2 linked regions of the Lepisosteus oculatus genome follow. The protein of the gene in region 2 purifies or fractionates together with the protein of the main gene of each other region. This does not show direct contact. Links are inferred from orthologs where the notes say so. Each region holds a gene or a part of one and is shown on either strand. Other genes may lie near its edges. The genes, in order: dnajc10 and mtmr4.

Region 1 (10,070 bases), on a different chromosome or scaffold from region 2:
TGAGAGGCATTAAAAAACAGCATATGCTACTGGAACTAATACACTGCTACTAATACTTTATAAGCACAACCTTAATACCTTCTAAGTACTACAACAAAAAGGGGATTTCTTATTTTAAGTGTTCCATAAACATACCAAAACAGACATGTTTACATTCAAACACAGATTATGAAAAGGCTTATTACCACTTTAGTTCTTATATTCTACATACCATTCCAGCTTTAAATATGTGCAGGCTTGGATAGCTGGTGATGCCTTTACTTCGACACAGCATCCTATTGTCACCGCAGTTCACTGCTCCAATTCTGATTACACCATCCATTTCCTTTGCAAACTCTCTCCACTAAAGTAAGAGTAAAAAATATTATTTAGATTGGAAAAACACCTTTGTACAGCTATGAAAATCAAGCAGAACTAAAACAAGAGATGACAAGAAAGAAGAAAGAAATGACAATTAATTTATGTCACATTTTAATTTCATATTTATTCAGCACTATGGGTAACAAAATTATTATCTTTGCTTATCAATTTAAAGAGAGAAATATGTTACCACATATTTCCATTTTAGATTCTGAATTCATCTACAGTACCTACAAAGCACTGATCTCAGAGAATTAATTTCCCTTTATGACCACCTAGAGTATACGATGTGTAGTTCTGATGCTTTTGTATGTTTTTGTAGTTTTTAGAGATTGAAAGAGAAATAAGTAATAATAATCTCTTTAAGAAACAACTAAATATTTAGGGTTTTACAGTGATACTAGCATAATGTTTTTAAAACCCTTTCAGGACACCTTTAGCTATCAGCTACTCTACTTTGTAACAAAACTACAACAGGTGTAGCTTACCACACCAAGACATCCATAATACAGCAAAAACTAAAAAACAATTTCACGGATTACATTTTATTCACCAGAAAGGATCTACTTAAAATATATATCTTATTCTGTACCTATCTCATCATTCAAGGTTTACAAAGAGATCCAGGATTACTGACAGCTAGAAAGCAGGAATATAATTTTAAAAGATGTCTGTAAATATTCTAGAAAAACAAAACGTAGTGCAAGAATAGTTTTCTCACCGTTGGTGCCAAGTCATGACAATGTGAGCAGCGTGGAAAGTAGAAATTCACAAACCACAGCTCTCCAGAGTTCACAGCCGCATCTAATGAATAACAAAATAAATACCCCTGTAAATCATCCTGTTAACAGCAAATGTTAGGCAGACAGCCAGATTTACTATTATATTATTTGATAGTATCTGATAAAAAATGCTTACCAAAGTCCCCTCTGTCCAATGTGATGATCTCAAGATCATCATCATATATACCTGTAAAAGTGAAAACAATATATCAAAAAACATTCCAATAGTCAGCTCTAAACTAAAATGACACATCATTATTAATTAATATTTTAATTCTCCACTTTCAATTAGGCTTTTCAGAAATCTCTACCTTGAAATTATCAAACACATGTAAGATGGATACATACTTTTAGCTCAGCCTTCCAATTGTTTAAGATTCTACACTTAAAATTTACGTATGAGTAGGAGATCTGATCTACCAAAATTTAAACCCAGTGCACAGAAAGCACTCAATCCTGAATTAAATAAGGTAAATCACTTTCCTCTGGGGAAAATATTTCAGTTCTATGGAAATAAATACCTTGGGCAATTTTATCCTGGATTAGCCTTACTTTTCTGTACGCAGCATACAGTAGATGGCGAGCAACACACAGCACACATAAAGTGAGACGTTGTTAGGCCGACATACCAAAGTCATATCGGTAATAGTTCCAGCTTTCATATCTTCCACCCTCCTGATTATCTTGTAGTCCTTTCTCTCCATATTTATCATATTTCTTCCGCAAATCTTCATCTTTCAAAACTTCATAGGCTCTGTTTATCTTCAGGAACTTGTCATGAGCATCCTGATCATTCTAAATAAAACATGGACAGTCAAAGTTTTGACACCTTGTTACAAATAACATTTCATATCTATGATTTCATGCAATGTACAATTTGTATATGCTTTGAGATATTTACTTACAGGGTTTTTATCAGGATGCATTGTTAGTGCAAGCTTCTTAAAGGCCTGTCGAATTTCTCTATTACTTGCTTCTCTGGACACTCCAAGTAGCTCATAATAATCATCATTGCAGGAAATAACAGCAGCCAAACATATTATAACAAAAAAGTACAAAAATGTTCTGCTTGACTGTCTTCTGTAAACACAACAGGTTTGTTCTGCAAGTAGTGCTGATTCCATTGTGTTCTGCTCCCCGCTGACTCAATCAACCTTCAAGACACAGTTGCTCTCAAGCTGAATTCGATATCTTCATCCTCAGCTATGTGCCAGTAACTGCTTGCTTCAAACAGTTTTAAAGATATCTATGTTGGAAAAAAATGAGAAAACATTATGCAAACAATGATTGTACATTATAGTGATTCTATAAATCCAGAGCTACATCACACCTTTTGATATTAAATCCTGTCAAAGGACATTTATCTATACTTTAGATCAATTTTGGCAGTACTGCATAGCATTTTAAAAGTTAATGTTTTTGGATGCAGTCCATGGTGTGAAAACAATCTAAACAAAAAACTCAATTTTTAGGGAGAATTGTATGATTTATAGCCAGGAGGTGCCGGACATTTTCCAAATAGGCAGCATTTCATACCTTTTACAACACATAGTGAGTTAATTCTAAATGAAATAATTAAATCACAATTTGTACCCAAAAATGAATGCCCTCAATTTAGATTTGATGAAGAATAAATTATTGCAGAAGAGGAGGTCAATGAGGAACTAATGGTCTTTGTAGACTGCAAAGTACTAAAGTAAACTGAAGTACAAATAAACAAACTTCACTTTTCCACTTAGAAAAAGACACATCGTAACTGCACCACAATGTTTCTATACAGAAAATAATCTACAGTGTGTGATGAAAGCAGGAATGTTCATTTTTTTTCAATCCATCTATTACAGTAACAAGGTTTATGAACGAAAAGTAACCTTGGGTGAAGATAATGAGGTATGATGGTTATCTTTGTAAGATCCAGGAAACTGTAATGGTTTACCCATGGGGAGGCATACATTCTAGCTAAAAATCATACCAGGATTGCTCCTGAACTCAGGTTTAAATGTACAGTAATATGTGTATAGCAGGTAATTACATACATGAAAGAAATCAATTGTTTTGTGTTCACAAACTGGAATTTCTAGTTGCAGTTGTTTATAATTCACATGAACAAGGAATGAAAGCAGTTCAATTAAACGTGTTTATCTTCTAGTAACAGATAGCATTAAAATATGCAACTATTAAAATCTTGATGCTGTTATTATTAGGATTAGCTAGATCATGTACAAAATTTATTATTCGTTTTAATTAAAACTTGCTCTGAATCTGGGGTTATACAGTACTTATACCTATTCTTAAATCTGCATCACTTTTAACCTTATGTGATAATATGCTAACAAAAGTGCATCACTTTAGATATAAGGATGGGTAGACAGACAACTTACCGACTCCTGTTTCGTCGCACCAATGTCAGTCTAAAGCGTTTCCAAAATTTCAATGAATGTTTTTTTCTGATAACATAAACATCTAAGCTTATACAGACTGCAGCTTACAAAGGAAAGCACATGGCAATTATAATAAGGCAAACATTACTTCTCCTCGCCTATCCGGGTAAAGATCCTGTTATTTCGGTACCGGTATATTTGCAGACACTAAGAGAAACTTTAGTGTACCACCGTGATGACGTTAAAACGTTGTGTGAGTGCCACGTTAACCACAGACCCTGTTACACTAACCAATGGGAAACTACCTCAAAAACCAGAGAAAGGAACGCGTCTTTTTAATCGTGGTTCTGCTAGTTTTAGGTTATGTATTATACAGCGATTCTGGAATAAGGAATTTTCTTTTCGTAAATATGACTTAATTTTCTGCTTAGAATAATTAGTTAAAGTTAAATACATACTTGTTCAGTTAGTTCAAGTTAAATACATAGTAGGGTAATGCATCTAAGCGGAATCTTTTATGTGTTTAATGCAAACGAAAAATACATAAAAATGTGAAATCACTATAATGTTGTAATTTTTACACGTGCCCTTTAAATCCCACTCCTTTCCGACTTCACATGAAACAGGAGTCTGCCCGCAGCTTTTATATGACGTCACCCCCAGAATGCCTCGGTATTGCTGGAAAGCGCACGATTTCCGCCATTATTTGAAAATTTGAATCTATTTCAACCTAAAATTAGGCACATTTTGATTGGAAAAATCAGCTTGCTTTACTTTTTCAGCTGTCCTTATATACTGTTTTGTGGGTAGCCTGTAATGGAATTTCAAGGTGGGTACAGTCTTTTTCTAGTGTTGTACTTTTGGAGGTTAGGAATGCATATATTTTAAAATCTACCGCTCCATGTTATTCCCTTAATCTCATTCAGGCCTAAATTAATTAATAGTCATGTTAAGACTGCAATATTGATAAAATATCTAATTCTGATTTTATTTTTATAGTTTTTGAGACATTGTTCTATTTATGGCGTGTCCCAGTTGACAGTTATAACTGCAGTAACACTAGACTTATCGCTTTTTTTGAACATAGGGGATATAGCGTGAGGGGTATTAATACATTTTATAATCAATATGAATTTTTGCTAATACTAATTCGAGATTTGTATGTTTGTTTATTGTCATCAATATATATATATATGAACTATTATACTGTGTTAATAAATTGCCTTCAAAGCTACTCCAAAAAAAGTTTAGAGGTATTGGCTTGTTTTATTCCAAGGAAGAGTCTCCATGAAACGGTGTTTTGGGCAGCTCTAGGTGAGTCGGATAAAAGCAAATATACGGATTTATCTTAACTTTGTCAGGTACAGAACCAATGACCCTGGGGTCGCCAACCTCCCCAAAGCCCAGTTCGGGCGCACAGTTCCTGCCCGGGTTTCTGATGGGCGACCTGCCAGCGCCGGTGACTCCCCAGCCTCGCACCTTCAGCAGCTCTGTCGGCAGTGGGATGGAAATGAGGTCTCCTCTTATGACGGGTGAGCTGTTTATGTATTCATCTTCATAATCCACGATTTTACGGGACATGGCGTAACAGGTGTGAATTTATACCAGTCTGCTTCGTGCAGAAGGTCTGCTGGCTGTGACGGACGCAACAAATAATCCACTGACCAATTGTTTAGGGGGGGTTCTCCGTTCCAAAAAACATATCGAGGTACGTGCATGTAAAATCACATTTAAAGTGCCGAGAAAGGGCTGTAAAATTTAGAATGGATTTATGGAGACCATTTATTTTGGGGAAATGTCCATTTCTGAAGGAGTAAGAGCAACCTTTCTCACTACCGTGTAAGTATTTGGCTGTGCTAGTCAAGATGTGAAGACACTGTGGTATACTAGAAGAAATGACCACAAGATAAGGTTACGGCACGATGAGGAATAGAGATTTAAATATAGTCACAGAGTAAAACTCAGTGTTGCACATGTGCAAGATGCCTCTCTCAATTTTTTTTCCCCTCAGGTGGTTCACCTCCTCAGCCAGTTGTCCCCACACCCAAGGACAAGAGTGGGGCACCCCCAGTTAGAAGTATATATGATGAGTTAACATGTCCAGGGATTGGGGCATCATCACTGAGTTTGCAGAAGCAAGTAAGCAGTTAGAACTGTTGATTTATTTTCTTATCACATTATCTGATCATCTTCCTGTAATAAAATATCGCCATTCCTGTCCACAGCCCTCTTTTTCAGTGCTACAGACCCCATTATCTGCCTTGGCTGCTGCCTCCCCAGGAACAGGTGAATTATATGGTTGAAGTACTTTTGCAAGACATCTTTTTTTAACATCAGTTAATAACATGAACATCTCATATGCAGTGCTTTAAATTGGGGAACAGTGCTTTTGATTTTAAGGCTTAATGGGCTGAGTGTTTTTTTTTTAATCTAAACAAAAAATCTGTGCCTCTAGCTCTTTTGGTTTATTAAAATTATGTTGCAAATATGATATGATGGGGGTACAAAATAAATTGACCTAATCGCTAGTCCGCTTAAACCGTGGGTTGAATTTTAATTTCATCCTCTTGAGACATTTTGAGATTTCATTTGGTGGTAAAGGCAAAAAACGTATAGCTATTTTTATCTTGCCATCGGCAACTAATATGTCTTGTAATATCTGAAAAGGAAAAGTGCAACGCACGGTTCTAACAGAACTAAAACAGCTACTTGTTTGAATTTTAACAGCATCAAGTGTATTTAGTCCTCTCGGCCAACAGAGAAGGGCAGCCATCTCTCCAGCCCAAGTTGATCCTTTCTATACCCAGGGGGATGCACTTTCTTCAGATGACCATTTAGATGAAACTTGGGTCACAGTTTTTGGGTAAATATAAATACTATTTTTTAAGTTTGCATTGCACATACTGTACACTGCAAAAGTTCTAACTCCAGATAGATATCTGACAGGCTAAAGCTAGGTTTACTGTGGTATCATTTCACCTTTTGTAAACATGTTTCTGAGAAGAACATTTAAAATGCTTCATTTCACAGAGGTGCGAGATTAAATCCCTTTAGTTTAGTATTTTACTTAAAGAGGGGACACATACTGTAGGTTTCTTTTTTATTGTTTTCCCAGATAAGTCAAGTGAATAAATTTTATTTCACAATTTTGTAATATAGTAGCTTATTTATAGAGCAGGGCATTAACTGGAGAAATTTGAATAAAGTAACTTGCTCAAGGGTACAACAGTTGAGTTCTAACCAATAATATAAAGGTATGTAATCACCAGGTCCACTAAAAAACGTGAATAGTTTGAAGTTCAGAAATTTTACCTAGTAATCTTACTTTCAGTTTTATTATTGCAGCTGATGCAGAACACCTTAACTGACTCGTGCCTCCCAAAGCATCACTAGTAGTGATTACTACACAGCAAACTAACTCCAAACCTGAAAATGCTACAACATTTTGGATCAACCGCAGTACAATAGTGACGTAATAGACATTTTCTGCGGTTTATATACCTTTCTAAATTCCTGTTAAACCTGTCTTTCTTAAGGTACGTAAAGGTATGAGGCCTACAGTGCCTTGCGAAAGTTGTTTAACCCCCCCTTGGGGTTACCTTTTCACATTTTATTTTAACCATGATGTACTTAACAAAATTTTCGCCAGTCATCAACACAAGGTACTCTATAAGATAAGATCTCTTTATTAGCCTTATACAATTTCTTGGATTAGGAATTTCTTTTTCGTAATGTCAAGGTGAAAAAAAAATCTAGACATTTTACTACATTAATGAAAAATAAAAAACAGAAAATAATTTAATGCATAAGTATTCCTCCCCAATCCCAGAGTTAATACTTGGTAGGACCACCTTTGGCAGCAATTACAGCTGTGAGTTTCTTTCGGTAAGTCTCTATCAGCATTGCACATCTTGACACTGGAATTCTTACCCATTCTCCTTGGCAAAACTGCTGAAGCTCCATCAAGTTGGAAGGTGACCATTTTTGATTACCAATTTTTAAGTCATTCCATAGATTCTCAATTGGATTGAGTTCTGGGCGTTGACTTTGCCACTCCAGGACATTAACCTTTTTAGTTTTAAGGCACTCCAGTGTGGCTTTTGCTGTATGTTTTGGATCATTGTCCTTTTGGAAGATGAATCGTCTTCCAAGTCCCAGTGCTCTTGCAGATTACAGCATCTTTTCTTCCAGGATGGTTCTGTACTTAGCTCCATCCATTTTTCCTTCTATCTTTATGAGTTTTCCGGTCCCTGCCGCAGAGAAGCATCCCCAAATGGTGGTATTCTCAGTGTGATATGCTGTGTTAGGTTCGCACCAGACAAAGTTAAATTTTGGTTTCATCAGACCATAGAATCTTCCTCCAAATTGTTGAGTCTCTCACATGCCATTGGGCAAACTCCAGCCGAGATGTAATATGAGTTTTTTTTCCCAACAAAGGCTTTCTTCTTGCAACCCTTCCGTACAACCGAGATATATGAAGCGTGCGTGCTATTGTTGTCTAATACATAGTTTCTCCCATTTCTGTCATGGAGGACTGTAACTCCTTTAGAGTTGCCGTAGGCTTCTTGGTGGCCTCCCTTACTATGGCTCTTCTTGCCCGGACACTCAGTTTTGGAGGGCGGACAGTTCTGGGCAGATTCACAGTTGTTCCATATTTTCTCACCTTTGTAATGATGGACTTCCCTGTGCTTCAAGGTATATTCAGTGCCTTGAAAATTTTCTTATATCCTTATATCCTAAATGGTCATTTTCAAGAACCTCGTCTCAGATCTGCTTGGAACATTCCTTGGTCTTCATGATGTAGTGTTTCCCCCCCATAGTGCATTTCAAAGGAAGCTGCCAGACACAGGTGTATTTATTCTGCAATCATGTGAAACACCTCAAATGCACACAGGTGGACTCCAGTCAAGTAATTATGTGACTTGGAGAAGAGAGTTGGTTACTTAATGGGTAATTTAGCTGCTTCAAAGCAAGGGGGAGAATACTTATGCTTTCAGTTATTTTCTGTTTTTTATTTTTAGTTTAGTAAAATGTCTGGATTTTTTTTCTCTTTGACATTATAGAGTACTGTGTTGATCAGTGGTAAAAAATCTCAGTTAAACACATCAGGTTTCCATGCTGTAACACAATAAAATGTGAAAAAGTCCAAGGGGGGTGAATACTTTTGCAAGGCATTGTATATCTGGTATTTTATCAGTTTCTCTAACCTGACCTCTGACTTTCTCTAGCCACGTTTTTGACACCCATGAAAGCTTCCTTCTGATAGCTATGTGGGTCAAGGAACCCCTTTTCTTATTCTGGCAAGTCATAGGTTAGCTCTGCTTCCTGCACCACCTCAAGTGGATAAATCATACAATGCGATATATACATTTTCAATATATGTAGACCCACCTATTGCAAGATAAGGTAGAACTGCAAAAAGTCACAAACCAACACCCTTTGCCTACATCTTAGTGCTGCTTGTCTTATATTGATACACTGCAGTTGTACAACCTATTGACCTTGAATCATGATACCATCTTTGTAGAGGTGCTGCCCTTGATACCAGCAGAACCTGTAGATAATATAAGTTGTGGTGAGGTTTCTGCTTCTACCTTTGGCAGCTGTAGTTATTTCTATGTTATTGTTATTTGTTATTGTTTCTGTTAGCAGCATTCCCTGTGTTTCCGAGTTGTGGTATTGCTCTAGGTTGATTGAAACCTGCAAACCTGTTTGTCTTTCAAGTCTCCAAACACCTTGTTGCGCATTTCATGTCTCATACTCAGGATGAAGGAATGAACAAAAGGACTAATACAGTGCTATGAATGAGCATACCACAGCCTCTCATAAAAAAAAAGTTGACTTGCACATAATTATTAGTGTAAAATATGCTAGGTAACAAAATATAAGCATTTTCAAATTATTTTTTTCAGCATTTTGTTCTAATGCTTGCTAAATAATTTGCATACAGTAAACATAAACATAGAAATGTTTTACATATTTTTTTGTAAATTTCATCAAACTTGAGCACTACTCGATAGAATGTAGTATGAATCTCTGTTAAGTAAACTGAAAATGAATCTTTATAGTTCAATAAGTAATATTTTGTAATTCAATAAGTGATATTCTGAAAGATTTGGTTAATAATATTGTTTTGTATGTAGGGTCAAGTTTTGTCTGAAACTGTAAAATATATCTGAAATACTAATTCTTAAATTTATTCTTTTAAATAGGTTTCCTCCAGCATCAGCTTCATATATACTTTTGCAGTTTGCCCAATATGGAAACGTATTGAAACACGTGGTAAGGTTATGAGTTAATTCTTAATTTTCACATTTTCATCATGTAGATTTTCACATTTTATCAAGTCTTTTGTAATATATTTTTGTTCAGTTTTATTTTATGGATCAACAATTTCCTTTAAGCATTATATTGAAGGGGCGTGACCTTTCTTTACTGTCTGTAGATGTCTAATAATGGCAATTGGATGCATATTCAGTATCAATCAAAACTCCAAGCTAGAAAAGCGCTCAGCAAAGATGGGAAAGTCTTTGGAGATGCCATCATG
Region 2 (9,536 bases):
ACCTATGGCCACTTCCACAACGCTGAGTATGGTCTTTTCTCTTCCGTTTGCGAGTTAAGGTTTAGCAACTGAAACGGGCCCGATAGGCAAATCTTCACGGGCAGCAGCAGAAACGCCAAAAAAACACCTCCGAGAACCTACCCCTCTCCAACCGGCAGACACACAGGCCAACTTAAAGGCTTACAAATCAAGGCTGTATGGCAAATACCAATCAAAACAGCCAACAACAGGATAAGCAGAAGAAAATGGGGTTTATAAAAAGGGAATTATTAAAAAAAGAAGTTCCGTTAAGGTAAAAATAATTATTTTCATGATGTGTCAGCACTTAAAAAAACTGAGGTTCCTTTAACCTTTGTTTCCAATGTTACTTAACAGCATCGAGTCACTTTAAGATTGCCCGGAAATACAGAAGGGAGAAAAACACGGAGGCAGTGCAAAATCTGGAAAAGCTGAGCTAACATTCAATGTGTATGCAATCAGCCGGGATGCTATTTGTCCCAAAACTGTACCAAGGCTTCCCCTAGAGACCGACGTGAAGCACACACATCTGTGCTGGTCTGCGCCTGAGCTAGTGTGGTTCACAGGAAGACTGTGCCCAAGAACATTCACTCCTTCCCTCCCATTACCAAACTAAATATTTCAGAGAGAGCTAAATATTTCAAACCACCAGGCTTGTGCAAGTCTAAACTTGATTCCAAACCATGTGTGCAGAAGCCGAGAACAATGCGAAGCCCTTCGTCACATCCTGAACTGTGCTGCCATACTGCTGCCCTGGACTGCAAATAAAATCAATGCCTTTGTTGTGACAGTTAAGATTTTTTTTCTCTCTGCATGAAGCATCATTGATCAATTTAAAAAATGACACCACATTCTTCTAATGAACAAATTAGTGTTTAACACATTTAACACACGCCTGTTGAACCGCAAAGAGATTCAGACATCTCCATTTGGGACATTTTAGGGTGCTTAAGTTATCCCTCAGTAGGCTTGGCTTCAACTTTCTAAAGGGTTTCAGTCTGCGCTGCTCATATCTCAGAAGTCTGGGAGCAGTTTGTAAAAGGTGAGCCACGGAGGAAAGCCCTGCTAGATGGATAAATCGCTTTCTAGATGGGAAAGTAAAACCCATTGAGGGTCACTGAGGATCTCCCCTCTTATGATGCTTTCACAGTCAGCCCAGATAAAAAGCCCTCTGAAACAACAGGAATGACAGAGACCAAGCTGGAACACTACAGCAGTGGCAGAATGCGTATGTCTGGGACACTTCTCTACTCTATCTAAGCAGATGGGCCCTGTCTGGCTGAAGACCCCGGTCACTAACAGAGTCTGGCAGAACCTGGCAGAGCACTGCTGGAGGTCGGCTGTGAACGACTTAGGGACCAGCACTTCAAAAACCACCCCTCAGCCCTTCTAAGGCACAAAGGCACAAAAGTTCACTCTTCCATTTCCCCCCCCCCCCCAGAAACATTTTCTTCTTGTACTGCAGGTCTAGAGAGCGCGCGCGGGCTGTTTGAAGAGCAGTCCAAGGGCTATCCTTGAGAATTAAGAAGGACAGCGCAAGAGAGCCTCTGAAGACAGCAGTGGAGAAACAGGAATGACAGCCAAGCCCATCTGCTGTCTCACAGCGAGGGCTGCCTGGAACCGTGGCGTCCAATATATTTGTGTTCAAACGGGCTGCGCTAGCACTCCAGCACAGCAATGCAAAATTTATTTGGAGCTCCAATTACACCTGGGTTTTATTTAGGCAGATGCATTAGAGCACAGTGCCCTTTGAAAAACAAAGCACAGAGCAAAACCTTTTCAGACAGGTCGTCTGCAGTTTATACAACAATCTATTGCTCCAGTTTAGTACACACCAACGAAAGTGAATTCTCTTTAAATTTCCTATTTAATAGAAAAATTCTAATGTAACTGTGTTGACTTTTTCTGTAGGTTCTGAATACAATAATGGCATACTGAACTCCAGTACTGTACAGCATTTCACAGAGGTACAGTAAACATTTCATAGAAGGCAATACCAACGGGACAGCTGGATGAGGACAACATGCTCATGCTACAGGGGTTGGACGAATATTTCTCCCTTACATTGAGTGTTCAGATGTTTTAAGACTCCAGACCAAAACCAGCCTTAAATTTTTTCAATCAATTAACAAAGTAATTACCAAATGAACAAGATGGACTTTCTATTGTTTGTGAACTTCATGTTATTAACCTTCCAGGACATTTGGAACTGCATCCTGAAATACAAAAAGAAGTAAAAAAAAGTCCTACTGAAAGCTTCAGAATTTAACAGAGAAAAACAGTAGCAAACTAAATATAGACAGTCTTCCATCACCGAAATCAAGTACTCCATCATACTGAGTGTGCCTCCAGGCACAGAGGAAGGATTTGTAGGAAGGTATGTAGGAAATATTTCTTAAACTTTGAATACTTTCAGGGCACAGTCAACAGAACTGCCATGTAAAGCATTAAAATTAACTCCCCAGCAAAAAACACTTCATATACCACAGCAGAAGTATACTGACATGGTTCTTCACGGAAGAATACATCTTATTACCACAAACTTCAGCCATGTGGTTATGGGTGGTGCTCCTGTTTCAAGTGTGAAGGGTTTGCCGATGTGTGCCTAACGGAGAGACGGGGACAATGCCACAGCCTGCTCTTGCCCCAGCTGCATCACAGCAAGTGAAACCCAGACGCTGTAATGTGCAATCACAAGCGTCCCAGCTCCAATTTCTCACCATCCCTTTGGTTTAGAATAACAAATCCCGTCTCCAGCGCTGCTATGAAGGCATCCTCACCCTTCACATTCCAGCGACATGATGGACAGACGCGGTCCTGGCTGTCTTCAGTCTAGGACGCTCTAAAGTAAAGGTCAGAGTTCATCCTGCGTGACCTTTTCACTTCACCATGCCTCCACCACAACCACCATCTACACAATACAAGAAAGCAGTCTGCACATTGCAGTCCACGAACACAGACTGTGTTCTAACCTTTCTAACATTTGAAAACAAAAAGGAATGTCTATTCACAAGGAAAATCCTAGACACTCCTTCACGTGCATAAAGGTGTGCGGGTTTGCTTGAAGGACAAAACAGTGTTTTCATTTACACAACTGTTTCCAAAGATTATATTTCCTCCCCCTCAAAACAAAAAAACCCACATATTCGACTCCCTTTCCCATGCACACAGCTTAACAGCCCGTTTCCTAACCATCACCTTCTTTCAAATAACTTCCCTATTTCCAGTCAGAAAGCCGTCCCATCTCTGGGAAAACAGCAGTCGCGACACTCCAGGCGTTCGTGCAGCTGTGCCTTAACCAGGCGACTCCTGCAGAAGTGAGGGTGCAAAACACAACCCAGAGGAAAAGGAATGGAATGGAAGAGCAGACTTACAAAGCAGTTCAGCATAGAGCAGGAAACGCGTGCAGCCAGGCTCATGTTCAGAGAAAGGTGGGCTGTGCCGGAGAGACCCACAGCCAGGGAAGCAGTATGGCCAGATTATACAGTGCCGGCAAAACCATTCTTCCCCAGCACTGCCCTGGTCCTCACGGCAACCCCCCTCTGCCCCTGCCAGTGCTGCCCCAGGCCCCCGCAGGCTCCTTCTGTGTCTCAGCGGCAGCAAACAACAGGAGCGTCCATGACAAAACCAGGCAGATTCCCCTCTCCGGTCGGCTGGGATAAAAAACAAGCGCGCCAGCAGGTGCACAGGCAAACAGCAAGGAGTGATGTGGAGACAGAGAGAGAGAGGAAAGGGGAGGGAGGGGCTCCCGACGAGACTCCACCTCCAACTAGCACCCCCTCTTCTCCCCCCTTCCTCGCTCTCTCACTTCATCCCCCTCCCCAGCCCCCTCCTGATCCAGCCTGCCTCCTCGCCACACGACCTCCATAGCGTTGTAGAAGACGCGGCCAGCAGGGAGAGGGTTGTCACGCCCGACGTGCTGCCTGGAGAGCAGCGGAAGGCTGAAGGAGACAGAAATCAAAATCCGTCTGCCTGGCAGAAACAGCAGCTAGATTCTCTTGTAAAGACCCGGTATTTTATCCCACACCCCCGACCAAAACCTACAGTACTGTAATCCTGACTGACACAGGCTGGCGACACAAGCTAAGACACAATCTGCTTCCCTGAAGGAGGCTAGCAAGGAACTGCTCACACAGAGGACCCGATGATGCAATCGTGTTTATTTCCGAGACGAGGTAGGGTGGGAGAGGAGGAGTGTGCACGCAAGTGACTGAATGGCTCTACGTTTCATTTTCCTTTCCTGCTGTGCTAAGCAGCATCTTCCTGTTGCTGTAGCACCTTTTGCAGCAGCGCACGTCAACATTTAGCACCGTATGCGAGGCCAGAAGACGGCAGGAATCACCACTGAGCATCAATGACACAGCATTCTGCTGCACAGTACTCTCTCTCTCTCTGCCTGCTTCCTCCTCTACTGTCCTGGCCCATGCTGCGATGAGTCACTGCCACAGTAAACTGCATCAATATCACACACTGCTGCAGAGCTCCTGCACACTGCAGCAGCTACAGAACACTACATGCGGTACTGCAACGCTGTCCAAGGGTCATAACTCACAGCTGCCTTTAGGAAACATTTACTGCCCAACTGGTATACGGTATGTCTTTCGCAGAAGCATATTTATCGAGCCGGTGCTTGACATCTTAAGAGCTGCACGTGACTTGGGTTGACATTGAACTGTTCATATCACTAATGCATTGGAACTGTCAGGTGAAACATTTTCATATAAAAAAAAGAGATACCAGTTTTAAGAGAGAGACAAATTAATGCACAGTCAGCTTGCAAAGTGGGGAGAATAGATCTTCTATGATTATATTAACCATAACCCTGCAGCTAATCAAAAACACTGAAGAGAAAGAATAGAGCCAGACATACAATTAATCTTTAGTTATTTTCGTCTTAAAACCAGCATTTCCAAGATTTTCAGCCTATGCCTGTTTAATGCAGAGACTTTTGGAAATTGAGGCCTTAAGAGATTTTTGGGGCTTAAGTCATTTAATGCATTCACTTGCACAAACTAAATCTCTTAGGACAGCCAACAAGCAAGTTCAGAGCGATACTGATTGGCAAAACCTGCCAGCTACTATGGTATAGCTCTCTTTGTAGAGCAGCTGAGCCACTAAGTCATTAAAAACTGCATTCACGTTACTGCAAACCACATCAAAGCATTTTAAATCTTTGGCCGGGGAAAGACCACACAATATTCAACTCACAAAGCTGAATTTTGTTTCTGTGCTGCTTATTCAACGCTACAGCAAGAGGATGCTGAAGTTCCAACCACACAAAGCTGGGAAGCATGACTCATCTCTGCTCCGGCTGTGCCAGGCGATGCCCAGTAGGGGGGCAGAAAGGCCCTGAAAGCTGCCCCTTCTTCTCTGACACATCTGGCAGTGGTAGAAAAGGCAGCCTGCCCCAGCTTGATACAAGAATGCCAGCTGATGACATGTTTTAAGAAGTCCTGTTGAAAATGCAAAACGTTTTTTTTTTTTAGCCCCATCAGCTCTTTCCAGTGGGAACAGCACCAAACCCCACCCTTGCAGGAGATGACATTTGTTTTTCCTTTCGATCCACCCCCCCACCCCTGCCCCCAACACGCAATTTGGAGTTTCACATTTTTAATCTCCTCATCTTGCGCAGACAGCCAGCGTACCAAGCGCAAGACAGATTAAGCGAGTGCACTCGCAGCCTCTGACACATGTGGTCAGGTCATGTGCTTTTCACCACGTGAGCCTGCATGTCAACATGTCTGAAGCACCAGAAGGCAGCAGGATGGATTTTTCACTTATCATAGTGAATGATGCCCATTGCTTTCAAGCCCCTTTGTCTCAGGGTCACAATTCTGGGTTACAGGACCAAAGTACTTATAAGTACAGTACTGCTCCACACTTTTTTTTTAGGGCTGTATGTTTAGCACAGGTTCATTGTTTCCAAAAGCAACAACAGCACAAAACATGCAGGTGACATTATCATGAATTTCATAACCAAGCAGGTGACATCAATTCCTGTTGCGAAACAAAGGGGACAATATTTACCTGCACATCTGACTGGAAACTGATGTCAGACCCAGTCAGGCTTCACAGCTGTTCCAAAGCAATTCAGTACAGAGAAAACAATGAAAAGCAAAATTGCCCTATTGTTCCTTTCAGTTCCCATTAGAACATGGCAAAGTTCTAACGAATTACAAAAGGACAAGCTCAACACTTGTTTCATGCTTTTGCAAACAGGTTCAGTCCATGTAAACTCAATTTTGTTCCGCTTTCAGGTGGAAAATGATAAAAATGACTTGATAACAGAACCCCACCCACCTCTTTTTTAAAAATAAATCATTGCACCTTTAGAAGGGTTTCCAGATTCTCTGCTGTTAAGACTTGCAAGTAAAGACTTGCAAGGTATTGCACAGTTCACTAAATCTGCACAACAGAGAGGCCACACACCTTCTCAAATTGCACACTAGAATAAGGACTTAAACAGTGGATTATGAACACAGATCACAAGTATCCAATTTTTAAAAGTGAAAATCTCCACAATTTACTTTTTATTTTTTAAAAAACGCCATATTGCCTTGATTCACCCTAGTGGACTTTAATGATAAAATAAGCAGTGTTAGTCTAACCGCACATTTAAGAACAGGAAACTAAAGTTTTAAATCATCACAATACCATAGTAACTCTCAACAAGGTAAACTCTGCATTTAATTTATCAGACTTTGAAGGGTTTAAATAACAACTGACCTGTTAAATTAGGGAAAATAAAGACAATGGATACAGTTAGCTGTGGCTTCTCTTATTTGCTCATTTAATTCTGAGTAAAACAGTTCCACAACAGTTATATTTGACTGCATACTCACGTCAACATCCTAAACAAATGTCAAACTCCAGTACTACAGTATGCTGTTCCTAATAGATGTATACAGAGGGTTTTTTCTTTTTAACCTTGGGTGCCTGTCCCTTAAACGACAGCTTGATTAGAATATACTTCTTCTAGTGCCCCACAGAATTTACAGAATGCAAAAATAATGCTACTAGAGGGGAGATGTTTTAATTTTAAGTCCTAGTAACAGCGTTCATCCTGGTTTTCCAAACAGCAGCCTCCCCGTGCAGCTCAGCAGCCATAAGCCTCTGACTTGCAAGCTGAGTGTGCAACGAGGGTGAATTTTATTCCTATGAATGCAGGCAAACCTAATGTTTGGTTACTGTACCAATACACTGAATAATTATGTGTAGAGGTCCCAGTCTCACTAGATATGCATTTAAAGAGAGATCAGGAAACTAGCCTGCTTTCTCAACTCCTAGTAGAACACCACAGCATTCCCTCTGGGAGCTTTCTTGCTTAATCAAGTCAGGCACACCCTCGTTGGAACTTATTAGCATACCCCACAGGACAAGTGCCATCAGCCATTGATCCATTATGGAATATGCCTTTGATAAATGACTAAATCTGAAGCTCCAAACCAGGGCAACTGTACCTCTCACGAGACGCAGGATTTAACAGGAAAGGAAAGGGCTCAGGAAGCAGAAGAACGACAGGTACCATGATTGACTGCACCGTTTCGTTTTGGAAAGATGCTGATGCTGTTTGAATCTGTAACTCCTGTTTAAGCTAAAGGTGTTCACGGCAAATTAACAAGATATCGGGTGAATCTGGATCCCCTTGGGTCATGCATCTAAAATGGAAGACTTCCTCTTTTTTTGAAAAGCCTCCATTAACACCATTAAGATGAAATAATATTTCAAGGATTATTTTGAAATGCTAATCAACAACCGTGTTAACTGGGAAGCCATCTGCTACAGCAAACGACTAGCGGGAAGAAGTGCTTTTAATTTGTTTTTAATTCAATCACAATAATGGCAGGTCACGCGTATGTGTCCATTTCTTTCCGTTCTGCTTCGGTTCTTATTCACCTCACACTGAAAACCATGATGCTACTAACATGAAGGCATATAGCACTGTTCATGCTGTATGCATGAATGTTTTATAAACAGTTTAAAAAACAAACATCAGACTTCACTTGGACAGAAATCAACATCTGACTACTACTCCAAATTTTAATGGTTTTCTCACTGAAACAAAAGAGTAAATGAAGACACTGTACACAACTATATCCCAGAATCCCTGGATTCAATATGGCAAATAATTATGGAAACAAAGGAAAACTGATATGTAATGGAAATTGAAATATGGATAATCCATACAGCATGTTTAATTATAAAAATATACTAATTGATTTCTAATTCAGTATTTGTAATGGAGGCCCTTTGTTCAACACAGAGCTTTACATCTTGGCTCTGTGGAAGGATGCTCCAAACAGCCTGGAACTCGTCCCACAATCTGGCCAACTTGCTTAGCCAGCTTTGCAGTATACATGCAATCCTGCGCGACCCCTGGCGTCCATGTCAGGACTTTGTGCACACCAAGGCCAGCCAGTGTATAGAAGCCAAAGTTCCTCCACAAACTGGCTGCACACTTGAGGTCACGGTCATGTTGGAAGGCAAATGCTGGACCTGCGAGACCCGTCAGAGGACAGGTTATCCCTGATACCCCAGGACGAGACACACCTCCGTTCTACACCGTTACACTGCTCTCCACTGTGCCTTCAAACGAACTGCCACTGATCACTGCCAAACAGATCCGACTTGGATCTGTCTGTGATCTTTTACCAGGGCATGCTGCCTTCCTAAAGCAAACACCCTTCCTTTGAGACTATTCTGTGCTCGTATGAATTGTACTTTTCAGGAAGAAAACTCCTCTATGGCAAAGTCATTCACAAGATCAACCATCAAACAGACCCTTACTGCGGGGAATGGAGTATCAGGATTGGCGAGTCTGGATCTCCTTCCTCAGAGAAAAGCAGATGGAGCTGGGCTGCCATCTGTCGATAGGAGTAGCCTTCATCAGCTAAAACTGATTTCTAGAAACTTGTCATGTAAGATTTCTTCCCAGGAGCAATAGCCTTCTCCTCTACAGTCTCACCCGTCACACCATCAGTAATATACTGCATTAGGCAATACTTTATGTTACAAAAAATACACATTAACCTGCTCTGTGCTTGCCGGGATAGACTCAGGTTCCCCCATGACACTGAACTGGAAGAAGCGATGGGAAAATAGATGAATGTGAATCATTATGAGTGCTGAATTCCCAGAGCACGCATCATCGCATCCGTGTTACTACCATGATTGTTGGATGAGCTATCTGCCACTGAACAACTCCTGCTCTCCAGTCTTAAGAAGCTGCACAGTATCTAATCTCTGCTTCAAACCCTCTAGCAGGGCAAAGCACCTCACTCTCTATTGCAATTCATTTCTTTAACAATTACATTCAGAAGCACAGACCACAGAACTCCTGCCAGCACTAACACTCGATATGCAAAGGCTGACTGAATTAACACCTAAACCTATATAACAAAAAGTGACTGCTCTGTAAAATGCTCCTCAATTAGTAACGGGGAAGCCCAGCAATGCATAACTATTGCTGCTTCCTAACAAGCTTTCCAGATTTTTGTTATAGATTTCATAAGCAGTGA

The links.
Region 1: the proteins of mtmr4 (region 2) and dnajc10 purify together in Homo sapiens (affinity purification with mass spectrometry; 3 studies listed by BioGRID and IntAct, counting the BioPlex papers as one, with this or other methods). This does not show direct contact. The link is inferred for Lepisosteus oculatus from reciprocal best matches to the Homo sapiens genes MTMR4 and DNAJC10.

Annotation. Positions count from the first base shown.
Region 1 is NC_090707.1:18,364,534-18,374,603, reverse strand, and holds the start of dnajc10 (dnaJ homolog subfamily C member 10), read right to left. Parts: upstream 4,073-10,070; 5' UTR 3,524-4,072; intron 2,389-3,523; 5' UTR 2,267-2,388; coding exon 2,048-2,266; intron 1,938-2,047; coding exon 1,772-1,937; intron 1,330-1,771; coding exon 1,279-1,329; intron 1,165-1,278; coding exon 1,082-1,164; intron 344-1,081; coding exon 212-343; intron 1-211. Other genes in the region: nucleoporin NUP35, read left to right, coding at 4,340-4,352, 4,885-5,055, 5,535-5,662, 5,749-5,809, 6,251-6,386, 9,736-9,805, 9,969-10,070. UniProt on the Homo sapiens protein: Endoplasmic reticulum disulfide reductase involved both in the correct folding of proteins and degradation of misfolded proteins.
Region 2 is NC_090721.1:3,717,944-3,727,479, reverse strand, and holds the start of mtmr4 (myotubularin-related protein 4), read right to left. Parts: upstream 3,759-9,536; 5' UTR 3,438-3,758; coding exon 3,393-3,437; intron 1-3,392. UniProt on the Homo sapiens protein: Lipid phosphatase that specifically dephosphorylates the D-3 position of phosphatidylinositol 3-phosphate and phosphatidylinositol 3,5-bisphosphate, generating phosphatidylinositol and phosphatidylinositol 5-phosphate.